3 linked regions of the Coturnix japonica genome follow. The protein of the gene in region 1 purifies or fractionates together with the protein of each later gene. This does not show direct contact. Links are inferred from orthologs where the notes say so. Each region holds a gene or a part of one and is shown in the gene's direction. Other genes may lie near its edges. The genes, in order: zinc finger E-box-binding homeobox 1, CTBP1 and SIRT1.

What was found.
Region 2: the proteins of zinc finger E-box-binding homeobox 1 (region 1) and CTBP1 purify together in Homo sapiens (affinity purification with mass spectrometry; 9 studies listed by BioGRID and IntAct, counting the BioPlex papers as one, with this or other methods). This does not show direct contact. The link is inferred for Coturnix japonica from reciprocal best matches to the Homo sapiens genes ZEB1 and CTBP1.
Region 3: the proteins of zinc finger E-box-binding homeobox 1 (region 1) and SIRT1 purify together in Homo sapiens (affinity purification with western blotting; 4 studies listed by BioGRID, with this or other methods). This does not show direct contact. The link is inferred for Coturnix japonica from reciprocal best matches to the Homo sapiens genes ZEB1 and SIRT1.

The regions. Positions count from the first base shown.
Region 1 is NC_029517.1:13,025,204-13,034,700, reverse strand, and holds part of zinc finger E-box-binding homeobox 1, read left to right. Parts: intron 1-2,101; coding exon 2,102-2,302; intron 2,303-5,736; coding exon 5,737-5,796; intron 5,797-6,443; coding exon 6,444-6,605; intron 6,606-9,339; coding exon 9,340-9,497. UniProt on the Homo sapiens protein: Acts as a transcriptional repressor. Inhibits interleukin-2 (IL-2) gene expression. Enhances or represses the promoter activity of the ATP1A1 gene depending on the quantity of cDNA and on the cell type.
Region 2 is NC_029519.1:76,687,650-76,699,685, forward strand, and holds the start of CTBP1 (C-terminal-binding protein 1), read left to right. Parts: upstream 1-5,114; 5' UTR 5,115-5,222; coding exon 5,223-5,280; intron 5,281-12,036. UniProt on the Homo sapiens protein: Corepressor targeting diverse transcription regulators such as GLIS2 or BCL6. Has dehydrogenase activity. Involved in controlling the equilibrium between tubular and stacked structures in the Golgi complex.
Region 3 is NC_029521.1:8,460,458-8,471,812, forward strand, and holds the end of SIRT1 (NAD-dependent protein deacetylase sirtuin-1), read left to right. Parts: coding exon 1-58; intron 59-4,264; coding exon 4,265-4,451; intron 4,452-5,664; coding exon 5,665-6,225; intron 6,226-7,477; coding exon 7,478-7,797; 3' UTR 7,798-9,568; downstream 9,569-11,355. UniProt on the Homo sapiens protein: NAD-dependent protein deacetylase that links transcriptional regulation directly to intracellular energetics and participates in the coordination of several separated cellular functions such as cell cycle, response to DNA damage, metabolism, apoptosis and autophagy.

The DNA.
Region 1 (9,497 bases):
ATAAATTTTTCACAAGAGGAATGGTGCCCGGAGAATGAATCGGGGATGTTTATTAAAGGAAGCCCTTGTCTCCAGAGCCCTTGCCTTAATTGCTGCAAAGCACGGTAATTGAAGTAGAGGGCTGCAGCAGTCAGAAGCAGGCTCTCTGAGGCTCTGAAGGCACCACTGGGAAGCTGGGTTTCATTCTCTCTCTTTCATGGAGCAGTTCAGTGGTTTGGGAATGTCCCGTATTCTGGAGGTGATTTGTTCCCAGGTGCCACCCCAGCTACCTGGGCTCTGAGCACACTGCATCTGGGCTGAGCACCTCTGTGCTTTGGACAATGAATCGCTATAGGAACGTGAAACCTTCTGCTAAGTGAGACCCCAAAGGGCTTAGACTGACATGTTAACGCCAAAATTGCTGACAGAATCCTCTCAGTTTTAAGTAGTCAGTTTCCTGTCTGTAAAACGGAAACACCATCACCCAGCTACGGCAAAATTAATTAAAGGCTTTAAAGCATTTATGCTGAATGCCTCGGAGGAAAGCACCAAGTGTATAATGAGGACTCTAATTCTGGCATGCTTCCTGTAAAGGAGGCCTTGGGAACACCACTGGCTGGCGGGACTAAAAAGAACATGTAGGGTTGTTGCGATTTGAGACGAGGAGTCCGGATCCTACCAGTGCTGGGCTGCAGAGTCACAGTGTGCCCTCAGTGTGATTAGTGTTTCATCTTCCCTGCAAAGCACTTTAAACCTGATATAAGGAGTTCTACTTCATTTCCCAAACCAAACAGGGAAATCTAAAAATAATAATTCAAGAATTAGTTATCTGCGTAACTGAAATACCGTGTGTGTGAATTTTGATCTCAACTGTTATTTATCTTCTTGGCCTGTGGCAAAAGTCTGTATGTCAGGGTTTTATATGCACAGTCCTCTACGTGTGTCACTGCCAATAGGGCAAAAAGATTTTCCTGTGTCCTCCTTGTGTTTTTGGTCTGTTCTTGACCTTTTTAAAACTTACATTTAACAATTTTCAGGCAGAGAAATTCATAAATCTCTTCTGCTGCGGTGAGGTTATCTATGCATGTCTTACCTTTCACACTGTGTTACCTCAGCACCTATTTTACTTTGCAGAATCTGATGCAGAATATTAAGTGAGAATCAATTTATTGATAGAAATGGGTCAAATACTAGTATTTAGGCAATTTTATCTGCATTTGTTGCTTTAGAATAGCTTGGTACCATGAATTACGGCACATACAACATTTTTCAAATAACGCTACATGTATAAAATATGGAAACATGATTATTTTAGATTCAAAAGGCTCTTTAGTCATGCTTATGCATATTTGAGATGGGACATTTTTCTCCCAAATGAGAAGGAAATGAGATAGCAGCTTTCCCATTCATAATGTTACTCACTTTCCCTGCTTAAATGCATTTTTAAATGACTAGAGTATCTATGAAAGAAGAAAAAAAGAAAGAAGAATAACTTCAGAAGAGCTGGAGTTGAGTCTCCTATTTATCTACATTGATGAACTGGGTTCACATCAGACACTGAGTCTGTATGGTGTGCTGACAGTGCCTGTAGGCAGGGGTTGCAGAGTCCTATTCCCTTTTTATGGCAAAGAGATGGAAATGTTTCCTAAGTCACCACAGAGATTTTCACGTTCATGTCTGTACTGCTGAGCCTCCAGTGTGCTCTGGGTGTATCTGCAAGAGCACTTTAGCAGGAGCACTTTAGCACTTCTGAGTGCTGCCTCCTTGTTGTACCCATTTAGTGCTCCTACCAAGTATTTCATAGTGTGGACTATAATGTTCTTAAAGGAAATGTACAGCACTTCTGTCATCCAAATTGGAACGACATGGTGCAACCTCATGCTGGGCCATGTGTGCAGTGGTCTCCTGGTTCTGGGCCGCCTGCAGGTGCCTTCTTATGTGCCGCCATTGTGTCCAGGTTGCTCTCAAGATGCTGCCGTCCACAGAAGGAAAAAAGAATTAATGATATGACTCCATAGAGATGCCCTAAACATAGCATCTGGCTACAGTACCGAAAGCTTTGGAGTTTTCTGCAGAAAATTAAGAGTATATTGATCAGTGTTTGCTTTTTGTCTGCCCACAGTCACCAATTACAATAACGTGATAGAAGCAAACTCAGATTCAGATGACGAAGATAAATTGCATATCGTAGAAGAAGAAAGTATAACTGATGCAGCAGACTGTGATGCAAGTGTGCCAGAAGATGACCTGCCAACAGACCACACAGTGTTACCAGAAAACAGTGAAAGGGAAGGGAGCACAAACAGCTGCTGGGAAGATGAAGGTATGTTCATTTTCAGTATGATTCTCTGTAATGTTTCTAAGAAGACTTTAGATAGAGGTTTTTGGTTACTTTGTTACTGGAATTATTAAAAGCAATAACATGTAGATATTGTGTTACACTTTATTTTCTTAGTTAAGTATTTGAGGTACAGCCCTGTGTGTACCTCAATTCCAGCCACCATTCTTTAGCATCCACTTTGCTGAAACCTGTGACTTAATAATTGTGTGACCTCACATCTAAATGAACTGAAGCACTCATATGGCCACTAAATGTGGTCCAGCTTTTATGTAGCTGCCCATGCCAAGGTGTGCTCTGAAATGTGGAACTCAAAGTTAAACTATTAGGTAGATAATTTTCTTAGTTCAGCAAAATCTTTGTTCTCCTCCAGTGTTTTATACACCGTGAGTTGCAGTTACATAAAAATGGGCTGCATGGAGACTATTTCTTGACCCAGCCAAACACAGGTGTAGGAAGCCTGGGTGTGGATTGAGACTGGGCTCAGATATGGACTGAACATTTCTTGGGGCTGCAGCTGCAGGTAGTTACACCCAATATGTTACCTAAGGTTGCCTCTGGGGAGTCTCATATATCTAGATATGTAATTGTATCTTTTTGGACTTCCTATTTCAAATGTGCCATTTTAATTAAGAATTGTTGACTCAAATGAAGCATTTGAACCAAACTATTGTAATTGTGTATGGTATTCTCTGCCTTGGTCATTGGTTACTCAGCCAGGCAGATTGTCTTACAGGCTTACTAAAATTACTGTAAATTTCTTATGTAAAAATTACAAATTCTGAAGCCTCTTTTGTAGCAGCCAGGAGGATTTTTTTATCTGATAGTAAGGTTTTTTAAAATAGATTGTTTGAACTTTTGTTAAAGGCTGTGTGAGAAAAAATGAAGGCTAAATTATGTTTCATGGAGCTTTGATTTGCCATGGTAAAACTCTATTTACTTTTTTATGGCTTTCATAGAAAGAAAGGTGCAAGCTGAAAATCACATCATCAGTCTCGGTTGTACATTAGAAATCCTAAGAGCAGGGTATTGAATACGTGATCTTCATCTCAAAGGGAGCAGTGCTGGAGTAGTCTGTGCAGAGCTGACACTGTCACTGAGAGTGGCAGTTGTCTTTAGAAAACACCATGGCAGTTTTAGTAAGTGGATTTTCATTGCTGGATTAGTGCTGAAGGTTCCTACTTGTAGTTGGACTTGACAGAATGGGTATTTTACACATTTATTCAGTTTGCAAACACAAGAATAGGAACACACGTAACATCTCTTTATCAGATTAGTTTCCTTCCGTTTCCAGTCATTCTAACCGAACTTCTACAAGACCTTCAGAACAGGTGTTTTAAATATAAGGTGTGTATCTCCAGAGGTTTAACTGAAGCAGTCACACCGGTTTGAACAGATGAACCACGTGTATCCGGCACCGCTCGCTGGCGGGGCGCCAGCATTCATGTGTGCACTGATCCTATGATGTCAGCTCTTTTTGCTTCAGGTTAAACTAAAGCCTGTGCTACGAATAAGAAAGGAAATGTCAACCCCTATTGACTTGTTATGTTAATAAACGTTTGAGGGGAGGTTAAATGTTCACAGCATCAGCTTGATCAAGTTTTCTGCTTACAACCAAATTTTCTGTTTTTCTAGTGAGTTATCTTATCCATCTCTGGATCTTTGCATTGACATTGTGGTAGTGTCATGTGTGGTGCCTGTGACCTGGAAATGAGCAGCATTTAGCTCTGCAAGTCCCATGTATCTCTGAGCAGCAGTTCATGAGAAATGGTCAGATGCTGCACAGAGCAGAGCCAAGTAGTGCTGCCATGCTGAGGTGGCTGTGGCAGGGTCAGGCAATTCTCAGTGGCCTTAAAGAAGCCATTTTTTACCTGGTTGTGGTTTCTTAGTGGCTGATGAGATCTAATTTGATGGCTCTACCAGATGCTGTAGAGATGCATAATATGAGTATGGCTGAGTGTCCGTATTCCCACCCAGTGCAAGGAGCTTGCTCAGCCCCTCTGCTGCTTGCCAAGCAGTAGAATGGAACTTGCTGGAGACACTCTAATTTAAGCCGTATGGGTAATAATTTACAGATAGTAGCTCTGTTCCTCATAGCCTATTTCATAATGGGGAAAAATCACAAACCTTTTTAGGAAGAAAAATAGTGTAGTTGGTATCATAAATATTTTTAAGAAATGAAATTTTAGATTTGAATTTTCATTGCCTGCCATTGACTGCCATACATATTCTGAACAAAGCCTCTGGTATCAGGAGCCAAAAATACAATTACTTCACAGTTGGATATTGACTAATATTTTATGTATTGTAGTGAGGTTTTTTTCAGATGCTAATTCAAATCAATGAAAGATTTATGCCTTACAGTTTCCTTTTTTACCTTTTTTTTTGTGACTATCTGCAGATAGAGATTCCCCGCCTCTTCCCTTTTACGTCTGGTGGGTTTTGTCAAGGTAGACCCAACTAAGAGTCTTTTCCTTTAAGGAAGCCATTTGTATCTCAGAAATCAAATTTGCCCTAGGATTTCTCATCTCACACATAAAGGAGAAATTCACTTCTTCTGTATTTAAATGTGGCTCGTTCCGCAGTTGTGACTAGACATGCCCAAAATTTTCCCTGCACTGAATTAGAGTGAAGCAATGTAAACAAAATTACAACAGCTGGCATTTTGGATCCTGCCCGTCATATATTTTGGCATCTTAAGTCACCTTTGCATGTCTTTCTTTGCACTATAGCTCTGAAGCAAGTACCATCTCCAAAATAAAGCAATGACTGTTGACTGCTATGGCATTTCCATACAGTAACATAGTATAGTAGTGAATAATGGAGTGATAAAAATGGTTCTGTTTCACTATACACTCCAATGCCATTCTGTGTTTCTCTGAAGAAAGGGAGAGCAGTGTGCAGCTGTGCAGACAGGACCTGCAGATCATCAGCTGTTTCCAAATACTGCTAAATGAAAGAAACAGAGTAAATTTAATATTTCTATGATACTCTGTTTTCGGGAAATGATGTTCTAGTGTATCAGTTAGCTGCATTTAAATAGCTCATTCTGTGATTGCTGGAGAAACACACTGTCCTGCTCCTTACCTGTCTTTACCTGTCTTCAAATAATGCTTTAATGGCTAACATGTAGTATGGCTTCCTTTGCAAATTTAATTTCTTTCACTGTAAAATATCTCTGTGGTTCCACCAATTACGCTGGAGTAACGTGGAATCCATATTTTTGAAAGTATGTTGTCTTTTAATGCAATTAGAGAAGTGGACAAAAATGCTGTAGAAGTAGCTCCTCAAATACACGACGCTGCTGTGTGTATGCGGTTTTGTTGTGTTTTGTTGTTGTTTGAGGGTGTTGATTTGGGGCTTTTTTCTTATTTTTGGAGTATTTGTTGTTCCTTTTCTGAAATGTAATATTTCTGCAGGAAAAGAAAGAAAGGAAATCCTGGGGCCTGAAGCTCAGTCAGATGAAGTTGGATGTACAGGTATTTGTTTGTCTTGTTTATCTCTGTCTATTCTTATAGCTTGTCTGCCAAAGCTTCAGCAGTGAGAACAAAAGGGGTGTAACACTGATCTTGTTGGCAGAATACAACTACAGGCCAGCAGGTAGTGTTTTAAACTAACAAGGAATACACCAAGGTAAATGCAAGCTGCTACTTACCTCCTTTTCCACTCCTCTGCTTGTACTGATTATACAGAAAACGAAATGAAATGTGGATCTTTGGTATCAGAATCAAACAAGGACAGACTTTTACAAATGCAGGAAGCAAGAGGTTAAGCATCTCTCAAACTAAAAGGCCTAAATTGTGATACGTGCCGCACTGAAGAATTTTAGGGGAAGAAAACATAAGGTGCAAAAATGCATTGAGTTAAAGAGTGCATTTTTACAGAGTTTGTAAAGAATACTTTGTAAAGTGTGCTCTTAGTCTTTTTTTTTTTAATTGTCATTATGCCTGTTTCTGTATTAAAACGTTCCTATACCTTAAAGAGCTTAACCTATGCTAGTATTTGTAAGGAGCTGTGAAATCCTTGGACAGAGGTTGATTTGGAGATGAGAGTTACTGATCCCTTTTCCAATTTTTTTTTTTAAAGTTTTCATTTGACATCTTATATGGTGGTTTTTTGCTCTTAGTAAAAGAAGATGAATGTGATTCCGATGCAGAAAATGAACAGAACCATGACCCTAATGTTGAAGAGTTCCTTCAACAAGAAGATACAGCTGTTATTTACCCTGAAGCACCTGAGGAGGACCAGAGACAAGGCACACCAGAAGCTAGTGGTCAGGATGAGAATGGTAAATATGCCACCAGTTCAGTTCATACAAAATAAATTATGTTATGCACTTGACCCCAAAGCTCTGTTGTGCTTTGAAAGACAACAACACATGATACTTGATTTTGTGATGCAAGGCACACACTATGAGTCAGTTATATGGGTGCCTAAATGGTAGTTGGAAGTAAAATCAAGCTCTCGTAAATCCATTGGGTTATTATCCCAAAAAGACAAGGACAGAGAAAATTGAAACATTACTTATATAATAATATTCATGTTATTTGTGATGGAAGCCCATTGAGAAATACTGCCTTTCCAGTAGACTTCAAAAATGTTGTTTTATATTGGAATAAGAACATTTTTATTTTATTATGAGCTGTTTGTATTCTTAGTGAATTCTTCATGTAACATTTAATTGAAAACAACACCCTATATAAATGGTTTGGAGATGTTCTGATCCAGTTGTTTATTAAAAATGAACGTATTTGAACAAAAACTGTTATTGTGGCTGCATTAGTTCACTGGAGTCTAAGGGAGAGCAGTGAAAGGGTTGTGCTGACAAATTTGTCTCGCTCTCTCAGAATTCTTACATTATTAAATATTTTAGTAATAAAAAAGAAGATATTTAAGAAATAAACACATATAGAAGAATATAGGAATATATTTAAGAAGTAAACCGAGTACCTGCCTATATATTACATAAGTAGGACATGAATTTCCAATATTTTGTGATTTCCTTCACGTGTTTTGTAAATTTCAATTAAGTTATATTCTTAACAGTAGCATTTTAAAGTTTTTTACATTTGAATCTGTAGTTGCAGTGGCACAGCTTGTCAGGTTAGCTTTACAGACTTGCAGTGATTTCCATGTAATCATTAAAAATAAACTTCAGCCTTAATAATTGAAATTGTACCTAACCATGTAGGTTCAGATGGAAGTGCTCTGAAAGTCACAGTGCTGGACAGTGATGCTCAGTGCTTTAATAATTTGGAAGAGAAAATGCCAGAAAAGTGGTGATTTTTGGTAAAGGTAGATTCCTCCAAAGCTGAGGAGGGGCAAGTGAGGTGACAGAGCATCAGAGTATTTAGTACTGGGATCGTGAAACCTGCCATTTCGGCATTTCCTTCAATGGAAACAGAATCTAAGTTATGCTTGTGACATTTCCACTGACTTGTATTTGTGCTGAAATGCAGTATTCCTTATGGCATGTGAATTGAATTGTAGATGTAAAAAATGAACAGAAGGGAAGCATGGAAGCATGCTGTATCCACACACAAGCATGTGTTCATTTTAGTCTTGGAGAGACAGAGACTGAACTGGTTAGAACAGCACAAAAAACAGTGAAGTATGAGTGTTACCAGCTTGCTTCCATAAGGAGGGAAAAAGAAAAGTTGTTATTTTCACATAATAAAGCAAACTGGTCTGACTCTCCACTGTTGTGAAGGCAATAGCATGTTCAATGAAAATGGCAAGAAATTCACACAAATAGGGATTGCTACTGTATAGCGCATATATGCAATCTATGGCAGTAACTGCTGGCAGATGTCATGAAGATAGATAATTCAGAAGTACTTCAGAAACTAACGGTTAATTTCATCAGTGTTAATAATTGCTTATAGTTCAGCAACTTCAAATGACCATCTGTACCCCAGTTTGCACCTCATGATTCAGATCATAAACTAGATATCTGTGCAGATGTTCCACTTTCCTCTCTTGCTGTCATTCAGCACAGTGAATAGATGCTTTGTTGCAAAATTTGCTTCCCATTTCCCTTGAAGCTTGGTCACTGGACCTTACCAGACCTCATAAACAGATAATTTGATCCAATACTGTGAACCTTGCACTTCTATAAGCACTTTTTCCATTAATCTGTAAAGTAAGATGTTTTCTAAATCTCAGAAACAAATCTTTTCTAGCATAGAATAAGTTACTATATATGGGGGAGAACTAAATGCTGATAAGAAAAAATAGAGTTAAAGCTTCATAAATGATGACTTCTCAGGAATATTCCTGTCAAATTAATATTCAGCTTCAATCTGATTTCATTTTTTGCTGGTACAGGAGTAACTTCATAGAAGCCAATAGAATAAATCCCATAGGTTGTATTAGAATCACATTTATGGCATCACATCTGATATCTCTTCTTTCTGTCACTCATCTGCTTCTCCTGCATATAGTATGTCCCACATAGCTGTGCATAACTACGAAGAATATCAGCTGTGTTTCTGTTCTCCTTTCTCTTACAATTCTATGTTAAGAAACAAGAAGATCATTCTCTGCAGCCTAAAAATGTTGCTCATTCCTCATGATCTGGAAATAGGGTGACCATTAAGTGCTGCAGTACTAGATTTATTTTGTGAGCATGATTTTGGGGTTGCCAGTGGTACGGTTAACCAGGACTACAGAGCTTGCTGGGTCTAAAACTACATATTACAGTGGTCAGAGTACTTTCTCATCAGAGACATGTGCAGAGGCTCTGGTGCTGTGTGGGGACAGAGGTGTGGTTCTGGGGAGTGTCTGTGTGCTGACATCCTCCAGCACACGCTGGGACAGCTGCACCCTACCGCAGTCAGTAACATAATACCTAAAGAAAAAATACGAACAGTAATCGTTCCTTTTCTAAACCAGACGGAGCTTCCCAGCAGCTGCACGTTTTCTTACAGTCGTATGTATGAATGTAAACTGTGTCTGTCGATGTTGGTTGAGTTCAGAGTTTACATCTTATTTAAATACACCATATTCTCTCTCCTGCGCAGGAACACCCGATGCGTTTTCCCAGCTGCTTACCTGCCCATACTGCGATAGAGGGTACAAGCGCTTTACCTCTCTGAAGGAACACATTAAATACCGCCATGAAAAAAACGAGGATAACTTCAGTTGCTCCCTTTGCAGTTACACGTTTGCATACAGAACA
Region 2 (12,036 bases), on another chromosome or scaffold:
TTTAAGGGAAGTATCATGTTTGTTCTGATTTTACTCTTCGTGAAGAGCTGCTCCTTTGGCAGCAGCTGTTGGATGCTGAGCTAAACACTGTAATATAACACAGTGATTATTATGTGGGAGAACAGAACAAGCAGGCACTGTTAATTTTCTTTTGTCATTTTTCTGCATATGGATTTCTGATCTTGGTTTGCATCTTGGCAGTCACTAACAGTGGCCACTGAAGGGTTTTCCATAAATAACTAATTCCTTCTAAGAACCACTTAAAGTTTTGGCATTCATGACACCCGGTGATACCAGATTTTCCAGCTTAATTGAATATTCCATGAGAAAACTTGTTGTTTTTTTTCTTCTGGTAGCCACTGTGTGCTCCCTAGGTACTGAATTGAAGCATATCTTATATATGTATTGTCATATTTTCATGTTCCATGTGCTTGTTTCTTCTCCAAGCTTTTTTTCAACCAATGCATTTCCTCTTCTCCTTTAAGCAAGCTGTCCCATGCCTCCGGCCATACTTACTGCCTGTACTGGCATTTCTTCAAGTTCTCCATCTTTTTTTGAGATAAAGGTATCTGAGATTTAGGCAGCAGCATAATAATGTTTGAGATTATCAGCTATTTCTGAGTAGTGTCCAACATTTCTTGGCATCTCCTTCAGTGACCTCCTCCCTCATGTGACAATTTCATTGATCTTGAAGCACTCTGTATGGTTTCTCTTAGATTGTACTGACATCTAATGGTAAGGCAAAGTGCCTTTGCCACACTTAGCGGCAAGATAAATTGTCTGACAGTCAAAAAATACTCAATTTTGTGTGACTAGATGGAATAGCTTCCATTTTTGCACAGGAAGTCTGATTTAATGCTTTCTCTTCTGGCAGTGAATCTTCTTGTTGCGTTCATTGGGCCATGCTTATTTTTTAAACGTAGCTTAGACCTTTGTAAGAGTAGTTTTCAGGACAGTGTAAATGCTGTGATGGTTTGATACTGCAGTAGTGCTCAGTGGAATTCATGGCATCTCCATAGCGGTACAGCAGCAGGGCCCGCTGTCCCACAGCATTCTGGACAGGATATCCAGTGATGATGCAGCAGTCTTAGAATTGCCACATTTGGAAGAAATGTGCGTGACCTCTTTTTCTTTCTTTTTCTTTCTATTTGAGGTTTCTCTGGGCTTTTTTTTCTTGGTTTTGAATTTGGTATTTATAATACCTAGTAGTGGTAGGTATTGCTGAATAATACTTCTGAGCTTTGGAAAGAAAAAGTGAGTTCAGTATTAATCTCAAAGTTCAGTTCCATGCGTAGGTGTAAATACTCCATGGACCTTCAGTGAGACCGAGATGTCGCCTAAAAAAATCAAATAAATAAAATAATCATTTAAAAAAGAAAAATAGCAACCAAAGAAAACAACAGAAAACTATTGTCAAATTGGCATTCTGCTAAGGTGTTTTTCTTCATGGTGAGCAGCCTAAGGTGCTGTGAGCTGCCTGTTCTGCCACAAAGTCTTAGCTATGATGGGTCTTTATTATCTTGGGAACCTGTTTATTCTCCAAAACAAACAGTTGCTACAAAATGTGTAGTTATTTGGGATGATCTAAATATTTATAGCGCGAGGAACACTTTCATTATTTACTTCTTAGTTCCAGGCTGTACGGAATGGCTATTTGAAGGCTTTTAGGTGTCATGGAAAATAGAGCTCTTATTGATTTGGATGAGAGAGAAAGAGAAGCAAAGCATTAGTCTGCTTGGGTTGTCTTGGAAACTTATTTAATTTATGAAGTCATAAGAAACCGATGGCAGTGGAATGTTGAAAATAAACTTCCCGCTTTTCTTGCAGTAGGTTTTTATACATTTGAAAGTTGATAGTAGAAAGGGAAAATAATTCAGTAACTTAATGTAGTTTCAGACCAAAGAACGTATGTTAGAACGGCTAAATTAAATGAAGATAAAGATTCCCAGGGGTAACATAGAACTTCATGGCTTTGTTCTCACTGTGTTAGTGATCTATCAGTCTGTTCTGTGAGTTTTGTTTCTGTTTTGGATTTCTTACACTTTATCACCATATTTGGTTTAGTCTACAAATCTTTTTGTGTGAAGGAAGCTGATAGTAAGGCAAAGGTACAGGTCAGTCTTTTGCCTTGCCTACCTGTATGGGTCAAAGTCCATGCTCAGAATAGCTTATACACAGTCTTTTTGTAGGTGGGCTCCTTACAGATTATGTGTGATGCAGGTCACTTTTTTTAGTAGGCTTCCACCACCTAGATTAATTAAGTACAAAGGCTATCTGTTTCACCTAAAAGTCTCCCATGAAAGTGAAGCCAAGGAAACTATCCTACATTGCAACCTCTGATGTTTGATGAGAGAGAGTTCCTTAGGAATTTGGAACCCATCTCTTCCCAAGAGTGGGACTTGATAGTCCTTACAGGTGTCTACCAGCTCAGGATATTCTGTGATCTCAGCCTACCAGTGTGCATGTAAGTAGCCTACTGGCTAGCTTTAAAAATACATTTCGTAGTTTTCTTGCTTCTCATCATCTTTCTTCAGAGACCTCCTTGAATGGCTTGTTTTCAGATCTTTTTACTCACAGCTTTATGTTTGTCCTTTACTTCATTACCAATGTTGCCTTAAGTCAACGTTGCTTTACTTACTTGACATTCCCATTTCAGCTTGTAGGATTTGCTCACACTGCTATAAAAATGTTGGAGATTCTCTTTTATTGTGGTATCTCAAAGAGTAAAGCTCATCCATTCTTGAGATAGAGCTAAATGCTCCAGGCTATAATTGCCAGAGGCATCTTCTCTTAAAAAATATCTTCAAAGACTAGGATCATCTGTTTAATTGAAAGAAAAGCTATAATATTCTTTTCAATGATATATATTTAATCTTAAAATTGTGCTGCACAAACAGGTTCTGTATGCTGATATTTCAGATGGCTTTGTAGCCACTACTCATCGTGCAGTTAGGCAGTACATATCAATATATATTCCGAGTTCATTTGGATTCTCATTGAGTTAAAATATTGAAGTGTGCTCTTAAATACTTCTTGTTCTAATTCCCTGGGCAATGGGCTTTTATTTTTAGTGAATTTTTCAAATACAGTTATTCATGTTGTGGTTTAGTAATTGCAGTTAACAAACGCTCCATAATTAGAATGTTTTTGTTTTGCTGGGGAATGTTTCCCATATCATCTTCTCTTTGGATTAGAACACGAAATATAATAAAATTGTGTGAGGGTTACATTTAACACTGTGTTAATATGTTAATTTAATTTTTGCTCAAACGTATTTTTTAAAACTTACAACATCTTGCCGTGGATAAAAACCAAACAAACAGGGCTTTAAACAAAGCTACTTGATTTATGCGGTACGCTTTGAAGCTACTGTAGATGGATAGAAAGCAGCTGGTGACACTTCCAGCGGTAGGGCAGTAGTTACAGATGGGCTGCTTTTTTACAGCTGTCAGCCAACTTCGTACATAGAATGACTACAGTGGAAAAATCTTGGGCTGAATGAATAAACAAAACTGAGCGCAAGGAGGACAGAAGGCATATATGTTTCTACAAGACAGGAAATTAAATTAGCTATAAAAATTTAAACCTAGATTAGCATTGGAAACATTCAGTGTATTCTGGTTTTTGTTTCTTGTCCTCTTTTATTTTCCTTCTTCTGTGTCTATTGGAGGTGGTAGGTTGTAAAACAAAGGTAACAGGCAAAGAAATGCTAGTTTGGGGTTGACACGAGTTTGGCACATTGACTGAAGGAAAGGCAGGTAGCTATGGCTAATTTTAAAAAGCATTTAACCGCATGTTAGATTTGGTGTAATGCTCATGTAATCTTGAAGCCATGTTCAATATTGAAGGATGTTGTATTTTGCAGGAATAATCAATGTGAGGCACTATAACAGGAAATTTACTATACAGCAGTGTTTTGTTTTATTTTTAAAGAGAAATTTGGCTTCAGCATTCTTCATCAATTTCTGCTGTCACGATGATTATGTTCAGCTGTAGTCAGACATTGTGCAGAACATTAGAACTCTTGAATCTGAGGATAAAGGAAAAGGTGGAGGGAGAGTGGGTGGGAGGATGAGGTTGAATAAAGCGATAAAAGCATGATGAATATTGCACATTGCCTTCATCTTCAAGTGAAAATAAACACGGAGAGGAGCTTTGTTTTAAAAATCCAAAAGCAGCAAGCAGAGTACGGCTGGAAGAAGATAGCTGTTTTAATGCAAATGTGCAGTGCTTCATATTCAAAATATTTTTGTCACTTCACCTCAAGAGTCTTTGTGAGGTGTTGACTAAATGTGCACTTGTTTGATTTGATTAAAAAAAAAAAAAAGGAAGAAATCAAGGAAGAAACAAGCAGATTTCTAGGTTTGGTCACTTGCAAAGCCATGTAATGTTCACCACTGATGTTGAAAGCTCCTGGGAAGGAATAAAAGGAAACAGGGAAATGAATTATTTGGCCTGTGTTTGTATGCACCATGCTTGTAATACGTGTTTGGTTCTCAGAGCCTATTAAGTTCTTACAGGGGACAAATGCACTGCTCTTATTATGCTTTTCCAAGGATCTCTATAGCTTTACCCATTCACTTGCTCCTGTGTGTTTTATTTACAGTGTACATTTTGGTGAGAATTTTGATGCGGGATGTTTCTCCTCTCCCCACCCCCTTCCTGCAGGCTTCGTGTTGTGTTACCCTTCTGCTGTCTTGCCCAGCTACGCAGGATCTGAAAAGTGCTTAGTTGTGTGTGCTGCCAAAGAGCTTGCCTAGTCATGCATGAAGCTGTTTTAAATGCCATTTGCTTGATATAGATGTTGGCAGTCTGTGCTCTCACTGGGATGCACATCTTCAGTTATATGTTTCTTGAATCGTGACCCTAAACTTCCCAGTATCAAACTCTAATTTATTCTAATATCATGGAGTTAAGGATGAGAGGAGCATTTCCTTGATTGCTTTGTTATGATGCCTTCCTATGGGGAAGCTTATTGTGAAATCCCAGGATACCAAGTATATTTAGGAACTGTGAATGTTTTCTTATTCTTTTAAGTATACATAGGTCACTCTTCTGGAAAGGGGTGGGAAAAAAACCCACTATATTTAAGAAATCTGTCTTTCTATTCACAGGTTTAAAAAACAAACAAGTTTATAAAAGGCAGAAAACGTTTCTGAGTTGTGGCTGACTTGAAGTCCATCATCAAACTGTGCGGAGACGTTCTCTGAGCTTCCCCTCTTATGTCTCTAATGGACAAACACAAAGTGAAGCGGCAACGGCTGGATCGCATATTTGAAGGTTGGATATTTCAATTTCTAAGGTTGCATTCATTTAGTGGATTATAAATATTTCTGAAGGTCAGAACTCTGCTCGTTTGGTCATTCAGTGTATTTTTTTAATTGAGATGTGTTTCCTGTTGAAATCCTGTTAACTGTGCAGAGGTGTTGGGTTTTGATGAATAAAAGCAAAGAGTGTGGGAACTCTGTACTGTTGTCCAGTTCCGTTTCCTTCCAGCTCAGCATTTTAAAACGTTCTGCCAAGATGTTGTGAAAGCTTGTGGGTTTGTATAAAATAACAACCACAAAAGGATAAGGAGACCACATAATCCTCTCCAGGGTCTTTCTCTACAGATATGCTTCATATAGATTGATTTAAGAGCCCATATCTGGTCTTAGTGAGGAAATGGGAAAGAAGTTAAAGAAAAAAATCCCAGAAGACCCCCAAACTTAATGAACGTTAATAAAAATACCAAGATCTTGTGAAAGGAGTGGAATCACTTGCATCAGTCAATTAATCTTGAATCACAGTTGTGTGAATTGTATGTTCCTGGTGTTCTTTGTTTTCTTTCAGATTTGATGTGAAAACAGGCTGAGGGATAAGTTGTATTTTGATGAATGCACAAGTGGTTGAGGCTTAATGATGTTTTTTTAATACTAGATGCTTGTTTCTTCTTAGAAGGGATCTGTTAACTTCTTTACCAAACCCGTTCTGGTATGACTGGAGTAAGTGTACAGACTGTTGGATGAGTAGTTTTTGCATCATGCCTAATACTGAAGCAGTAAACTGCATTTGAAGCAGCTGTGTTGGTCGTCAGCAGTCACTGGTAGCTTTGTTGTATCCTCCTCTTTTCCCCTTTCTTTGTTACAATATGAGTGTACCCATATAATGAACCAAAGTGGAAGAGGACCAATACTAAAAATACAATATTTTGTTTGAGAATTTTTTTATGTAGGTGAATTCCTCAGTCTAGGTCACAGCTGACTCACGAGTTGCATTGAAATAGCAGTTGGAAAGGAGGAATGAGGGGCACATGGACAGTTCCTTATGACAAAGCCAGAGAAAGGCATTTCATCAGAGTACCAGAGGGTACAATTTCGTAAGTGATGTAATCTCAACAAAAAGTAGCTTAGTTCACCCTGAATACTTGATCCAAATTGGTCTCATGTCACTAGTTGACTGATTGGCCAAGGTGTCAGCTTTATCTGCTCACCAAGAACTGGGGAGCTGGCTGTTGAGGGTGGGAAATTGGGAAGGATGTCCCTTCCTCTGGACAACTCTGTTGTAGGATCAGATGGAAGTGACCTATGGGTGAGATGCCACAGTGCTTTGTGCTGTTCATCCTTTGGTCCTAGGTCCTCATTCTAGAGTCTCTGTGTCTGACCTTACCAGAAAACTTAAAGGTATATATTTATTTTATTTTTGCCTATTTTAGTGTGAGCTGAATTAGCAAAGCATGAGGAGACGGAAATGAGAGAGGACAGAGAAACCTGTCCCTTCTGAGGGCACCCACAGCTGAACTGAACTCCACCATTCTCTTAGGGTCACTATATTTGTCAGTTGGATGACGTAAGAGAAATTAGTTGTGATGATGTGGCAAAGAATGCAGTCGGGGTGGAGGTGGCAGACCGTTAGGTTCTGTGACTGTATAAAACAGCAGCGGCTTCCCTCAGGCTGTGTGTTCACATGTTGTGACACTGTTTAATCACAGCCATTTGTGTGGCTTGTTTTCCCAGCCTTACACAATTCACTGCATCCTAAAATCTATCTGTGTGGCCATGCGCTGCTGGGAATTGATGCAGTTGAAAAATACAGCAGGAATGAAGTTTTTTAGCCACTTTGACTTCCTAATCCCCTTTACCATATGCTGGATAAATGCTGTGTTGTGGGAGTGGGAAGATGAGGAAGAGGGTAAACAAGAGAAGAGGGGAAGAAAAAATGGATATGGAAAAATGCTTAAGGTTTTCTGGGTACAGGAATTCAGTTTGACTGTGTAAAACGTCAGATCTATATTCTGCTCCTGATGTTCTTAGAGGTTTGTAAACATCTCTGGCTGATGTTGTTAGATCCGTGCCAGTGTGTAATGTAGGATAAAAATGAGGGGGCAGGTTTGTTTTTAGAAAAGCTGTTCTCTCTATGTGGTCCTGTTCAGGTTTAAGAATCAAGGAGTTCTCGGCACGTATTTCCCATAACACAGCCTAAGTATTTTATATTTTAGGAGGATGCATAATGTTTCTTTTAAAGCTCAGGAAACTTAATGAGCTGTACAGCTATTAAAGGTGGCTTATCTTCTCTGTCAGCTTTTTTTTTGTTCAACAGTCCCCGTAAAGCTTTCTTTTCTCTCAACCTTTTGGCTCAGAAAAAAAGAATTATTTTTAAGATGGATTTTATTGCAAGCTCACTAAAAGCAGGTAGCGGTGGTTTGCTAATTACTGCTGCTGTTTATATGTATATTTTTAAATTGTTTAACATAAAAACTTGTGATGAGCAGGCGTTTGTGCGTTATTGCATCTATAAAGAGATGCCAGCGGTTTTGTGACGCACCACATTTCATTACTGTTTGTCTCACTGCTCAAAGGAGGTGATAGCGAGTTGAAATTCAGTTGCTAAAAATTGAATGGTGTGGGACTGATTCCCCAAATGAGATGTTGGTGCAGTGAACATGTGCACAGGGCTGCACACAGCTTGTTCTGTGCAGTTAATGGATCGCCACAAGCGCTCCTGGAAGTTACAGGGCTGTGCACTTTAAGTGCTCTGTGAGTTGAACTGTTTTCCAATGGCTTTTAGCAATTTGCACACTCGCTTACAGTAACGAATCATGCAAATTAAGCAACCAATTGAACAGGCAGCATCGGATTTACTGTTCTCCCAAGTTAATGACGGCATGGGAGCGCTACTACTAAATTTCACTTAATACTCAGCGGAGAAAAAATCTGACTCTATTACTTGGGGAGCAATTAGTTCTCTTTTAATGTAGTTGTGTAAGTAATTTTTGTCTCTGAGGTACCTATGATTCCCTTCAGTGGTTTCTTAAATATGAAATTGAATATTTGCCTTTCATCCTGAAGCTATTTTCAGGGTTATTTTTTTTTCCCCTGCTTATTCGAATGGTGTGCCATGTTCTTGCATGTGTTGTCTCCTTTACACAGTTCTATAAACCAGCTTTGACTTAAGTAAAGGCAGCTGGACTGTCCCTTGAAGAAGCCAGATATGAAACTGTGGTTTTCAGCTTCCACTGGTAGCCATGAAGTCTGCCTTGGCATAACAGCATGGTCCTGGGCAGACTGAGATGCTAATGTTAGACTTGTTCACAGTCGATAAAGTAGCTTTTAGGCTTCTTCTCTTGTAGAAAAATAGTAACGAGGCACGTGAAAGATGTTAGTTATTAGTTACTGATTATATATAGTTATTAGTTACTGATTATATTGTTCTTTGTCCCCCTCTCCAGTGAAGCTGATGATTGCAAAGCATAATTATAGCAGTATACATTTGGCAGAACAGTTGGAAGTGTCACAGTGCAAAAATAAAATGTGTTCATTTTCTGAGTAATCTGAAAAAATCTAAATGTTTTTGGCATTTGGAAATGTTGTTATCTCTAATTAAGGTATCATTGCACTTCACATTGTAACAGATCTGTAAACAGTGCTGCATGTTTGCTTATATTCTAGAAATCTTTAATTAAGTGTGTGCATGTTTTACTGACCATTGCTTGGAAGTTACCTTGGGGATGTGTGACCTGGTGGTTTGCTAGGAGCTAACAGATGAGGTAGGAAGGCAATGGAAGGCGGCTACAGCATGAGGACAGTTCTGCTACATCTGGATTCTCTGTGAACAAATTGTGAGATTGATTTTTCTGGTTTGATAGCTTGAAACAAAGAAAAAATGATTTGCAGGCACCTGGTACACAGAGAAAATACCAACGGTGCATGTCCAACAGGTCAGTGAAGACCCTGCATCACCCCTGACAGACGTGACGTGGTTTTCTAGTTCAGCTTTTGGAAGTAAAAAAGACATCCTTGCACACCCAAAGCTTCTCAGCAATCCTTACAATCCCTTTTCCTCTTTCTGAAGCATTGGTATACAGCTTAATGTCATTCTTTCTGCACAGGTTGCCTCTTCCTTTAAGTGCCCAGAATAAAGCTTGGAATGTGTTATAGTGGTTTTAACAGCGTGGCTTTATTACTTAAGGAAAGAGGAAGAGTTGAACGGGGTTCCTGAATTGAAAAAGAAAATGCATATTAATGGCACGTGTTTCAGAAAGTTCAGATAAAATCTCTCATCTTTTGCTTTTACGAAGGACAGCCTTTATTCAGGGAAGTCTGATTACTGGTGAGTAACTGAACATTGTGCTCTTTAAAGGACAGAAATGTACATGATAAAGGAGTAGTTTCTTTTCAAGGATACAGACAAGGTTTTCTGTTTCCATCAGAAAACAGGTGTTCTTAAAGCTCCTCTTCCTGTTTGTGGTGCTGTATAATATGAGATCTAATAGGATGCATCTTCATAGTTGATGTGGTGTGTTGGTGACTCCAGGTGTGAGCAGAACCAGGTTTTCGTTCTACATTTATGAGCAGGTCTTGAAATACAGAGTGGCCAAAAGTTTGAAAGCTGCATTCTGGATCCAGGTCTTTCTTGTGCTTGTAGCAGAGAGCCCAACTTCTTACCACGTGAAAGCAGCAGGTTGACAATGTATGTACTCCATAATATAATGACTGTACTCCATGACCACTGCTGGAGCCCATCTGGTGTACCTGAGCTGTGACTTTGCTCATTGCAGCTGTGAAACTGGGCAGTTTTCAGGGTATTAATGAGAGCAGCAGCCTGCCTGGCCATTGCTTGGCTTCTCCTGTTAGGGAAAGGAATTTTGCTGAAGATGGTTTGTACTGCATATCTTAATCTGCAAAGAGAAGTGGAATAAATGTTCTCAGGTGTTGAGTACTCTTCAGCACTTCCTTATGTAAGTGGATATTGCAGGTGTTATTTTCTTTGGAAAACTAGCTATAAATCTTAACTGGTGTTTAGATTTGAAGATGTTCGTAGCTGACTTCCTGCAGGTATTAGAGAACAAAGGGACATCATACAACTGCGGACAATCGTATGTCACACAGCACTTTATATGCTTTTCTTTAGGCATTGTGTTCATAGTGCTGGGCATGCTGAACATCCCGTGTGTTGCTTGAAAGAACAACGATGGGCTGCTTTGCTGCTTGTCTTTTTTCACAGACTTGAGAAGAAAGCTCACTGAAGGATTAGGGCAGCAGAGGGAGCTAAAAGATTCCTAATATTTTATTGTTTGTTGTTTCCTCAGTGAAAGCTGCTCTGTCACGAAGTACCAATTAACCTTCACCAAAAATGTGTTTTTCAAGCCCAAAGTGCCTTTAGCAAATAAATAAGGACTCTGAACTGGAGAGAATTCCCTATTTCCTAAGCAATCCGGTAGAAATTAAATGAGGAATCAGGTAGTATCAGCCAGCAAAACCTCTCTGTGGGACCAGCCATGAAATCTCTCAGCTGTAACTGATGAAGGTGTGTAAGCGAGCAGAGTTGTCTATGAATAACACAAGCAGAATATTCCGTGAATAACCCATTACTTTCAGATTTCAGTGTCTTGAAGTAAAAATGTATTTGTTCTTGTTCTTCACTAAAGGGTCTTCATAGCAATTCATCTGTTTTCATGTGTTCTGCGTGCAAGAACTTTGAGAATACTTCTGTGAGCTTGAAATAGAGAGGTAAAGTGTTTAACCTGTTACATGAGCGTTGTCTTCAAGGAGCAGCATGGAGTTCTATGGACTAAGAGAAATCAATGAACTGAAAAAGTTGCTATCATGAATAGTCATATAAGCCATATAAGAAGCTTGTCTGTGACTGTTTGTATATCTGTGTATTTGGGGTTTGTTCACCCCAATGCAAACCCATCCTTTCTGTTGGGACAACTAGAGTTGAACTGCTTATGGGCAAGTTCACTTTCCCTTTTATACTTTATTCTTAATCCTCAATATCTCCTTGGGAAGGTGTTGGAGTTCTTTTGGATTGCTGCTGCAACTTGTCTTTGAAATTCAGTCTTCATTATGTGCTACCAAAACAGTTTTTGAATTTGCATGCACTTAAGCTTTTGCAATACTACAGAGGTGTTACTGGTAACAGTGCAAATTGTATGGAAAGAAATTAGCTTAAAAGCCCATTCTGCCCTAAATGATGCTGAACAGTAGCTGCTAATGAAAAGCATTATCTTAACAAGAAAATTCGGGTGGAGGGGAGGGAGAGAGGGGAATTTTAGAGGAAGCTTTTTAATTTTACTGAAACAATAATGTCACTGATCTTAAATTTTGATGCTTTTTAAAGAAAAGCCGTGTTTTTGCTGTGCCCAGCATTACATATTTCACCTGTAGAGTTATATTTTCATTGGTGTATTGAAAAAAAAGTACTACTTGTTATGGCAAAGTACAGTTATGATGCAAACAGAGCACTTCTTAACAGTTGTGATCAAGTCATAGAATCACCAAATGGTTTGGGTTGGAAGGGACCTTTAAGACCATCTAATGCCAACCCCCTGCTATAGGAAGGGACACCTTCCACTAGACTTGGTTGCTCACAGCCTCATCCAGCCTGGCCTTGAGTGCCTCCATGGAGAGGGCATCCAAAGCCTCTGTGCAACCTGTTCCAGTGTCTCACCACCTTCACAGTAAAGCATTTCTTCCTAATATCGAGTCTAAACCTACCCTCTTCCAATTTAAAACCATCTCCCCTTGTCCTGTTGCTTCCTGCCCTTATAAAAAG
Region 3 (11,355 bases), on another chromosome or scaffold:
CCTGATCTGTAAATACAAAGTTGATTGTGAAGTTGTTCGAGGAGATATTTTCAATCAGGTAAAAACTCACTTTAAATCACTGCAGCTCTCTGATAATCAGCTTGAAAACAAAGTGAAGCATTGCTTAAAAGATCTGCACTTTTAAAACGTATAAGAGGGAAAAAAGAAAAAAAAAAAGAGCTTTCCTTGTTTCCTATGTACCTATCTATATTTTAGCATTTGCTCTTGTATTTAAAAAATATACTCAGTTATTACACTGTAGCAATTAGGTAATGGGGAAGAAGTAGAACCAAAACTGTTATAGGTTATTTCTAAAGGCAGTTCTGAGAAGAGCAGAAGTTAATGCGGTAAGTAGAAAGTTGGATTTATACCTGCCTTAGGGTAATCTGAGCTCTCAGGCACACTGAGAATGCATTTCTAGCTATTTATAACGTCAGTCGCTCTTAAAGCATTTACCTGCATTCAACATGTTGAAATTGTAGATGATGCATGGAGAAAATGCTAACATAAAGCAGCGTCTGAGCAAGGACAAAGCAAGATGTCTGACTGGCACTTTTAAGAACTGCCAAACTATTTTATGTTCTGAATGCCTCACATCTGGGTGCAAAGTACTTCATGATCAAGCCCAGAGTTAGTTCTGCTCCAGCAGAGTAGAATAAGCTTTGCCTTGGTCAGACCCTCTTTGCTTTTCTTCTCTGTCTTTCGACAGAGACAGTTCTCTGATAAAAAGATTGTCTATATAAATGGAAAGGCACTTTTCTTCGGTATTTGCATGTTTTTCAATAAATACGAGTCCACAGTTGCAGTTTTAAATGAGAAAACATATTTTAAGCATTCTGTCTGAACTGTCTTATGAAAGGCTGTCTCTGGATTCTGTTTGACTTCAAGTTTTATGAAGTGTCAATATCAGAAGACTGATGCTTTGTGGCTTTGTAATGCTGAACACCTGTGAGGTCCGTTTTACTCTACTAATGTTGTTCTTGAGAATTTTACCTTAGAGATGTCTGCAGCTTCTTTATCTCAAAGCCAGTTGGTTGGGATTTGGGCTTTGTTTTTCTTTCCCTTCTGAACAAGTGCTCCTAAGTATGGTGTGTAGTTTTCTGTTTTGATTGTTAGTTTAAGCATTCCTTCTAACAACACTTCAATCAATGCACTTTCATACGTTGAACTGAACTCGTGCCCTAACGGCTCATGGCCAGTAGTGGGAAAATAAAGATGGGAAGAGAAGCTTGTACAACAGTACTTCTGAACAAGGAGGTTTTTTCCTCAAGGAAGAAACATTCAATGCATCAGTCCTAATCTTACAGTACTGTAAAGGCAGCAGCAGCAGTCCTAGATAAACATAATGAGAAGGTGTTAGAAAAGGATGCTCACCTGTATCTAAAGATCCAGGCTCACAGGAAGACTCCACAAAGGAGTGATCTCCACGAAAATCTTCCTCAGTGGCAGTCAGCCCTTAAATGAGGTGTAAGAGAGGTGCAGCCAGGCTCTACCCATTCTAGTCACACAGCTGAATTGCCTTCACCTGTGCTCCTGGGGCTGACCGGGTCCTTTCCCCAGATGCTCAAGTGGTTCAGGCCATGACTCAACAGTTTCAATATGTTAAACAGGTATATTTTTCCAGAACAGACTGTAGTTGTTATACTGAGTTACTGTTACTCCAGAAATTGAACACAGTTATTGTTGTGTGTGTATCTTAATGTATATAATGAGAAATAGCACCATCGGAAAAAGAGTATCCTTAAAAAAAAAAAAATAGTTCAATTTACCATCACTATCTCTGCTTCCCAAATCAGTGCTACGCAGTTGGTTTTTCTGTTGCTTCTCTCGAATGAATTAATTCCTTAGTTATCAAAAGGAACTGGTTTTGTACTTGTGAAACAAAGCACTGCCAATTCCAACAGCTCTTTTCTCTAGAAATAGTTTGGTGAGTTAGTCCCAACAGGACGCTGTTTGTATTCTCTGCTGTCCTCCACTGCTTAGAAGTTCAGTTATATGTGAGCCCAGGTCCTGTTTTCCATAAAAGAAAGATTAGCTTTCCTTTGCTCTGGTCCTTCCTTTGACAGTTTTAAGTGCTTCACAACAAAATAAGTCAATTTAGCATCTTCCTGGCAGGATTTCCTTTCAACATACTGGATATTGATACTTAAAAAAACCCACCAGTTCCTCACCGCTGCTTTTTATTCTTTTTGCCAGTCCCAAGGTAGCACACTGGTCCCTGCAGCACAATTCCATTTCTAGGTTGCTGTACACAGCCATCCTGCTACACAAGATGTGGCAGCATCTATAAATCCCAGAGGAAGAAAACGCACCTAAGTTGAACTGTTTTAGATTACTTTCAAAAACGCCTAATTGTGCCTTTGACTACTTCAAGCAGTTTCAAGAAACAGCAAAGGCATCTCAGATTTAGGATGTAAAGGCCCACAGAAACATGCACCTGTTTGTGGATGTTCTCAAACCAACACAATCTTTACTGATTTTGTTTTTGGTGCATCCACAGCTGATGAGGAATTCCACTTTTCCTTCATTAGACAAATTCAGCAGCAGAGGTGGTGTGGTTGTGGGCTGTGCTGCCCCTGGAGGGAGGGAGGATCCTAGGCAGCTGAGCGGCCAGCTATTGAGCCTTAACTTCTCGGTATCAATTTCAGCTCTTGGAATAGATCTCCCCCTTACTGATGACCTTTCTGAGGATTAGCGGAGGAGCTGGTGAGTAGAGTAGTGCTGAAACCTATTTATGGGCCCCTTTACATTAACTCATGATTTGGGCAGGGACAGCAGTTGCTGTTCACAGATCCAATAAATAACATTATCGGACTTCCTGTGGGAGATGATGGAAACAACTACTATCAGCATCTTTTTAAACTAAATCAGAAGTTAGAGATCTCTTTTTTTCTTCCTAATACAGAGCAAACAATTTTACTTTCCAAATCTGATTTAAAATGCAAACACATTGCTTCCTCCAGCAGAAGTCGCAGGGTAAAAAGCATCAGAGAAGTTCCGGATGTTGGTGTGTTGTTGCTTTCTTTCTAATATGTAAAGATCCAAAGAAAAAAAGTCAAGGGTTTTTTTTTCTTCCCTACTCTGTTTTGGGGGATTATTTAAGATGGTTGAGCTGTTAGTCCTTACCTTGGGTAACACGATGAAGATTTTCTCTGTACCACTTTCTAGTTCTTGTGCTATATTGCTTCTTACACATTGCTACTAGGGAGATTTCTTCAAAGAAAGATTAGATTATTCAAAGACTTGAATTCTGGAAAAGGTTCTTTCACACCACAGAAGCAGCTTTTTACTTGTGATGCTTTCTCAGATGGAAAGCATTGTCTTTGGTCCCACAAAAGTCATAAAAAACCAGCAGTTGTGTGTTTGTTTTTTTCTTTTTTTAAAAAATATTTTCCTATGATAACAGGTTTCATCCATCTCTTTATGTCTTTATAAAGCACTAGTTTGCTTGTAGGACTGTAGCTGTATTTAACTCTTTAGGTCTATTCTGGGGTATTTTACTTTAGAGACTACAGCTGAGAAAATAATTTGCTCAGTAGTAAAGCCCTGTCTGTCTATATTTGCATCGCTCACCTGTTTGCTTTTCTTCTCCTTGAAAAAGTATTAAGTTGAAAGAGGTCAAAAAGGTCAGAAAACCCTGTGGTTTCAAGAGAAAAAGGACTCTGCTTCTCCATGAGCATAACCAGCATCTACTATCGCTCTGCTCTTAGAAGAATTGGGAAATTTTAAAAGGGAGACCACACAAAAGCTCCTCCCCTGTTCTTGTTCTGTGTGCTTTTGCTAGCCACTTGCTACAGCGCCACATTACTTCATGCAACCTCTCTCTTTGGAGAAGAGAAAGCAGAGAGGTAATGCTCTATAACATGCTGTTTGATTAGGAAGGGGTGCATAACAGATTGTATAATGGAAACTGATAGTGAAAGTAAAGCTTTTGTTCTGATTAAACCAATTAATTATCTTCCTTTCCACTAGGAGGTGATTACACATTAGTGCTGAGTATGACACGTAGATTTTGGCTTAGTTGTTTGCTAAGAACAGAGGTGTAGACTTTCTTTGTTTCTCCATTTTGACATAAAAAGACTCCTTCATTCCCAATGTAGTTCTGTGTGCAGAGTAGAGTAAGAAATGCATTCATTCACAGGAAAAAAATAAATGAGGAAATATCACTGAAGCTTCTGTCTTACACCAGAATAAGTCACTGTGCATTGCTAAAATCTGTGGCACCTTAAAAGCCTCAATAGTGATACAAGCTGCTCTATTGCAGGTTGTTCCTAGATGTCCTCGCTGTCCGCCTGATGAGCCACTTGCTATCATGAAGCCTGACATAGTGTTCTTCGGAGAGAATTTACCTGAGCAGTTCCATCGTGCCATGAAGTACGACAAAAATGAAGTCGATCTCCTTATTGTCATTGGGTCTTCACTGAAAGTAAGACCAGTAGCATTGATTCCAAGTAAGTGACTCACATTGGAAATTTCTTCTTTCAAAAAATGGGATGAAATTAAAATTCTCAGTTAAGAGTTCCAGTTCTGAGTGTTTTTTCTACACTTAAGCCAGAGGAGAGATCTCAAAGTAATAAATCTATAAGCCAGAGAACCACTGCGCTAAAAGTTAAATGTCTTTGTTCTGAGACGAATGTATTTCTCTCCCTGTTCATAATATGCTTCTGGAATTGTGAGATTTAGAGAGTAATTGTCTTTTAAAAGATAAATGTAGTGTCAAAAAAAAAAAAAAAGAAAAGAAAAAAGAAAATGGAACAGGTACATCAGGTGTTTAAGCAGTAATTAAAGTCAATGTGCTAAACAATACATAGTAGGCAGTACATAGTGTACAGCCACTTGGGTCCTTACTTCTTAAAGGTGATAAGGAAAACTATCCGTGCTACTACAAAATAAGTCCTTCAGGAGGTCTGAGAAAATATGATTGCAGGTTAATTATTTGCCTATTAAACACACAACTTAACTTGCACTTTTAACACTCAAGCCTGAGAAGGGCCTGCACCAACCATCTGCTGCTCAGTGGGGACAGAGCCACATCCAGCACTTCTGTAGTAACACCCTCTTTTCTTTATACAAGAGGTAGAGCCTTGTGTTCAGGCTGATGGGAAAGTTAGGATCCACAAATCACTGCTCCATCCACAAACTGAATTTCATTAGTTGGTTATCTGAAGAACCAGTCAATACCAGGCTATCAGATTGTGGGGTTTTGGAGCCCCAGATGTGTTAAGCAAACCCTTACATCACAGACTGTACCTGCAGATATTCTGACCTAATTAAGAGAAAGTCAGTTAACAACAGTACCTTCTTTGTGCGCACTGAAGTGCATCAAATGAATGTACAAGATCACTGCAGTCCTTCAAAGAAATTACAGTACTGTAATAATCTTGTAATAACACGTGACCAAACATTGCCGTAGTCAACATTTTTGCGCACGGGTTTCTTAGTGGTGAAATAGAAGAACACCTTATACTGCAAGAAACGGGGAAATCTAGATAGACTACACAGGCACAGCACCTCACACTGCCGCTCAGCTTTGTTACATTCAAGATTTGCTTGTCTTCGGACAGACCTCGAAGACATCTCTGAGAAATGAAGTCTTTTTGGAAGACCTTTGGTAGAAAGTAAAACCAAAATGCCTGTCCTCAAACTGTCTTCTCTGTGTTTTAGGTTCCATCCCTCATGAAGTGCCTCAGATCTTAATTAATAGGGAACCTCTGCCTCATCTACACTTTGACGTGGAGCTTCTTGGAGACTGTGATGTTATTATTAATGAATTATGTCAAAGGTTAGGTAGTGAATATACAAAACTTTGCTACAACTCAGTAAAACTTTCAGAAATAACAGAAAAGCCTCCACGAATGCACAGAGAGCTGGAAATGCACTCAGCTGAGCTGCCGCCTACACCCTTAAACATTTCAGAAGACTCTGGATCACCAGAACAAATGACTCCACCGGATACTTCGGTGGCACCCTCAGAACACGCAGCTGAATGTAAGGTAGAAAACTGTGATCCTGCCTCTGAAACTAAAGGGATCTGCACGGAGGAAAAGCTTCAAGACACACAGGCATCCTCTGAAAACCCTGAAAATACTTCTAGTGAATTAATGAACTCTGAAACAATGAAGGAAAATGGAACCAACAATGGAGAAAGCAAAGACAAAAATGAAATAGTGAAGAAGTGCTGGGCAAACAGAGCTGCAAAAGAACAGATTAGCAAAAGGCTGGATGGTAAGTGTTAACTTACTTCATTCTCTTGCAGATTTTGACTTACGTGTTTATTCTAGACTTCCTTTAAAGCAATAAATAAGTTGCCCTTGAGGGAATCAGTGGGTTTTTTTTGTGGTTATTTCTGCTCAGAAAAGTATCTACTTTTTTTATTGTCAATGCAGAGTTTATTTCTTTCAGAGGAGCTAACAGGAAAACTCTAATTGAGAATTGATTTTATAATCAGTGATTACTGAATGGTTTTAAACTGAGACAGGGGAGGATGTTTTTCACCCAGAGGGTGGTGGTGCACTGGAACAGGTTGCCCAAGGAGGTTGTGGATGCCCCATCCCTGGAGGCATTCAAGGCCAGGCTGGATGTGGCTCTGGGCAGCCTGGTCTGGTGGCTGGAGACCCTGCACACAGCAGGGAGTTGGAACTGGATGATCTTTGTGGTCCTTTTCAACCCAGGCCATTCTGTGATTCTGTGACTACAAACTCCCTAGAAAGATCAGAGTCCAAGAGGCAGAAGCTAAGTATCAAAAATAAACACACCTGTCTTACATTTTCTAATGCGTTTCCAGAAAAACCGTATCAATCTTGGCATTTTAAACACTATGTCCCAACTCTGTTCTGTAGCAGTGAGGGACCAAAGTCACCACAAGATTCAAAAAGCAAATCACACAGCTGGAGCCAGGCACATTCCAAAGGAAACATCAGCCTTTCCAAAGAAGCCCTCCGTTGTGCAGTCTGTTAACTGATGTAACAAGTAATTGAGCTACAAAGTCAGTGAGGATGGAGAACCAAGGATTAAGTTGCAGTTTTCCTAAAGCAAAGTCTGTCTGAATTTTGTCAAGCACTCTGTGTGCTGGGTACCAATTCTATGGTACAACCAGTTGCATTCTAGCTGTGAATACAAGTACCAATAAAAAGCTCTCAAACATTAGTTTAAACACCGCTTTTACATCAAAGGGAGGGAGGAGAGGAAACAGCTTCTCAGAAAAGCACGCATTAAATGCTGTTTCTAACACTGAAGTACAAATTTCTAATGTAATCTTATTTGTCATATTAGCTTAACTTTTGAAAATACACCTACACAGGTATTTTTTAAGCAGAAGTCTGCAAGATCTTGTCTGAATAATTTCAGCTTTTTGTTTCTGCTGGGCAGCCCACTCTAGTTGCCCCTGCTTGAGTAGGGCCATTGGATCAGATGATCTCCAGAGCTCCCTTCCTATCTCAACCGTTCTGTGATACTGACTTGTTAAATTCTGTTTCAGGTACTCAGTATCTATTTTTACCACCCAATCGCTATATTTTCCACGGAGCTGAGGTATACTCAGATTCTGAAGATGATATGATATCTTCCAGCTCCTGTGGGAGCAGTAGCGAAAGCGGCTCGTGTCGCAGTCAGAGCTTAGATGTGGAGGATGAGAGCGAGATCGAAGAGTTTTACAATGGCATAGAGGATGAGGATGCTCCAGAAAGGGAAGAGGATGCTGCATTTGGGGAAGATGGAGTTGAGCAAGATGCAGCTGATGAATCAGCTTACACAAATGAAGCTGCAGGGAACGATCATCCAACAAGCACCAAGTTGTAAAGTGCGATCACTGGTTACAGGAATTTTCCACCAGCATTAGGAGCTTTGGCATGTCAGGATGAATGTTTACGTCTGGATTTAGAGCAAGGAAACCATAAGGATGTGGTGTTTATAAACAACTGAAACAGATTTTCATGCTTAGTTTTTTACCTTTTTCAATAAAATTCTCTTACTGCACACTCAACACTAACTTTTTTTTTTAAGGTACTAGGAATATCTAAGCAATTATTACTATGTTCACTTTTAAGTCATCTGTCCGATCAGGCATCCATGTATATAATACCTATTTTGCATAATAAATTTCAGCTTATATTATTTTTAAACAGTTTTGAAAAAGCCATTGGAATGTTAAACTAATATAAAGGGAACAGCTAATTTAGACCAAAGAATGGTATTATCACAATTCTTGCTTTGTAACAGTTTGGTTTATTTAAAACTTCTGACGCTTCTGCTAAACCTTTCGTTCTCGCATAGCCTATCATTAAACACTGGCATTTTCTAAGACCTACTGTGGCAGCTAATTTTTTTGCTTTAACAGTTAGTTTGTATGTTTGAGACATACTTAAATGTGAGTAGATAGTTAAAAATGGAAACAAGACAGTAAGCACTTGAAAACTCCTGATCTTCGTTAGACTGATAAGAAGTGCTGTGAAAATGCTTCAGTTACTGAGCTTAACACTTCCTGTGGACATGAAGCAGTGTTGACATTGGCTCCTTAGCAATTATAATACTGGAACACCAGTATTTTAAACAAAATGGATTCCCAATGGTAGAAGTTTCTCATGTTGTATACAAAATTCAAATATAGCGCAGCTTGCATTAACAATAGTATTTGATAATTGCCAAGGCTGTAACGTGGAGGCTTGGCTGAGTAAACAATAATGTTCCTACCAGCATGTGGGAAGGCGTGGAAACCAAATCTCTTCCTGTAATACCTACAGAAGTAACAGAATTGGAAGAAACTTGCTCGGAGAGCAACAGGCTCTGCTGCTACTGCTGTGTGAGTGAAATACAGATTAATCGCCTCACCTGGAGACGTGCTGCTTCCAGTGATGTCCCAGATGGGGAACGCGACTTTCCGCCTGTTAGCTCCAACGTGCATCTTAGAATCAAAGCAGCTACTCCAATTACCACATTGCGTATTAAAGTGCTAAGCTGCCTTACAACTGGATGTTGCAAATTTTCAAGTGCGGATTGTTTCCAAGCCTTTAGAATTATTTTGTACAATTGCACAGTGCAGTAGTAAGTGAATCAGCATTTTTTATATAAACCACTTTTTCAACATTGGCCCGAATGAACTCTACGATGTAGATTATTCATATACTTTGCTTTAATATTTATTACATTTTGGAGATGTATAGTAGCTGTTCTTTGAACATAAGATACATCACTTAAGAAATATTTAAGAACAGCTTTCTGTATTCATCTAAAAATGTTGGCATGTTGTCTCATTGTCCAAATTTAATACAGCTCTTATTTGGCTACACTAAAGAATGCAATATGTTTAGTTTTCACTTGCATGTTACAATGTATTAGTTTGTGCTATAGGAGATATTTTAAATTGAAATACTTTGTTTTAAATTATTTTTACAGTGAGGATTGTTTTCTGCTCTTTTATATTGTATATAGTGTCTTTTATGTAATCTACTGGCATATGTTTTGTAGAAGACTGTTTAAAATGACCGGCTATCTTCCTGCAACTTTTGAAATACAAAACCAGTGTTTTATACTCGTACACTCTGTTCTAAAGTCTATTAAAATCATCATTTGATTTTTGGTTTCCGTTAATTTCTAGTTAGCTCCTAAGAACTTAACTAAAGATGCCCTACAAAGCTTTAAGTGAGGTCCTGGGTACTCTACAGTAAATTGCCTTTTATGCCTGCCCCCTGTGGGAGCAAAGCCCCAGTAAAGCTGCACTGGTACAGCAACATCTGGAACCACAACGCAGTTTGTCCTTCAGAAAACTACTTATCTTCTTCCAAGCCCTGTGCTGCATTTAGATGTATTCACTGAGCAGTCCTGCTTGCTCCTACATAGCAAGGGGTTCTGAATTAGCTACAGTAACATCAGAGTCAGAACAGTACCCTTAAAACAGTCACTCTCTAGTTAGTGTTTTTAAGGTGACACTTGAGCTGCTAGGACTTCCCAGGAAAAGTGATGTATAACAGCATACACAATGTTCACTGTTGAGACTCAAGGCCCAAGGAGCAGTGAGGGAACACACGGGAAAGCAGATAAAATAAAGCAAACCACTGCACACACTGAAACTGTGCAACTTACTGCCACAGGACACTGTAGGAGCTATAAGTGCCCTGAAAGAGGAAAGGGAGCAATGCAGGTTGATGGGATGGGGGGGTTCCCAGACAGAGCTCATGTTCCTTGATGCTCTCCCCGAAGCACCCGGACCACTACACATGGAGACAGCTTTCACACCAGGGGAACCCAGCAGCAGCTCCCAGCGCTGCACAGAACCGAGTGCTGACAGCCAGCTCCGCAGGGCACACCCTGAGCACGGCTCTCTCGGCTCCACACCACCACACAGCTTTCAACGACTCAGTTTCTCAGCAGACACAGAGCAGCGCTCTGTGACAACGCACCCTCGGTTCCTTCACTCGCCCAGCGCCGCGCAGCACTAAGTAACGACAAACTGCCCTTAACCCACAACTGAAGAGCTCTGAAACAACACAAAGACAACTCTCGCTGTTGTTTTACCCGTGTCTACCACTCCTAACGCCTGGAGGCAGCAGAGCAGCAAGCACAAACTGCGACGGAAGGAAAGCGGCTCTCCCACACTTGGCGGGCGGCTGAGGTAGAGGCCCCCAGTGACCGACAGCAGCGCTCCACTTACCGCCAACACAGCGGGATCCAGCAGGACGGACAGCCCAGCGCCGAGAGACGAGAAGCGGCCCTGAGAGCCGCCCCCAACACGCCCAGCTGTGCTGCATTTAAATACAGGCCCCAGAAAGGGAAGCATCCAGGGCAGGCCGGGGGCACGAGCTACCTGCCAGCAAGGCGTTCCAAGGCTCCGCGGGCAGCGGCAGACCCGGCTCCTCCCTCAGGCACAGGTGCGGCCTCGCCCACTCCCCGTACCTGGGGCAGCTGAAGCCCCGCGGTACATGCACCCCCAGAGCACTAAGCACAGGTTAGGAAGCACACCTAGGCAGCCTCTATACCGAATTAAGGCACAAACAGATGAGTTTCAGCTCTACCATCTGGCTAATCGTTTCTGTAGGAGGCTGGGAGTACAGCCCACCACCTCTGCTCTATAACAGCAAGGCTGGGCTATCTGCTCAAGAGAGAAGGAAAAATCACTTCCAGCCTCTGCAAAAGCCTCCGAAGTCAAATCCTTCTGCCTCAGACAGCATTTTCTTTTACCCCAGCTCACATTGCCAGCATCAGCAACACACTATCATGCACATTTGCAGAAGACCCATATAGTACACTCAAGACAAAAGACAGGCCATGTATAGCAATTATGGCTGCTGGTGCTACTTTATCGATCCATAAGAGTGTATGTAGTTCAGGAAAACACAGGTGGATTTCTTGGAGGCTCCAGTG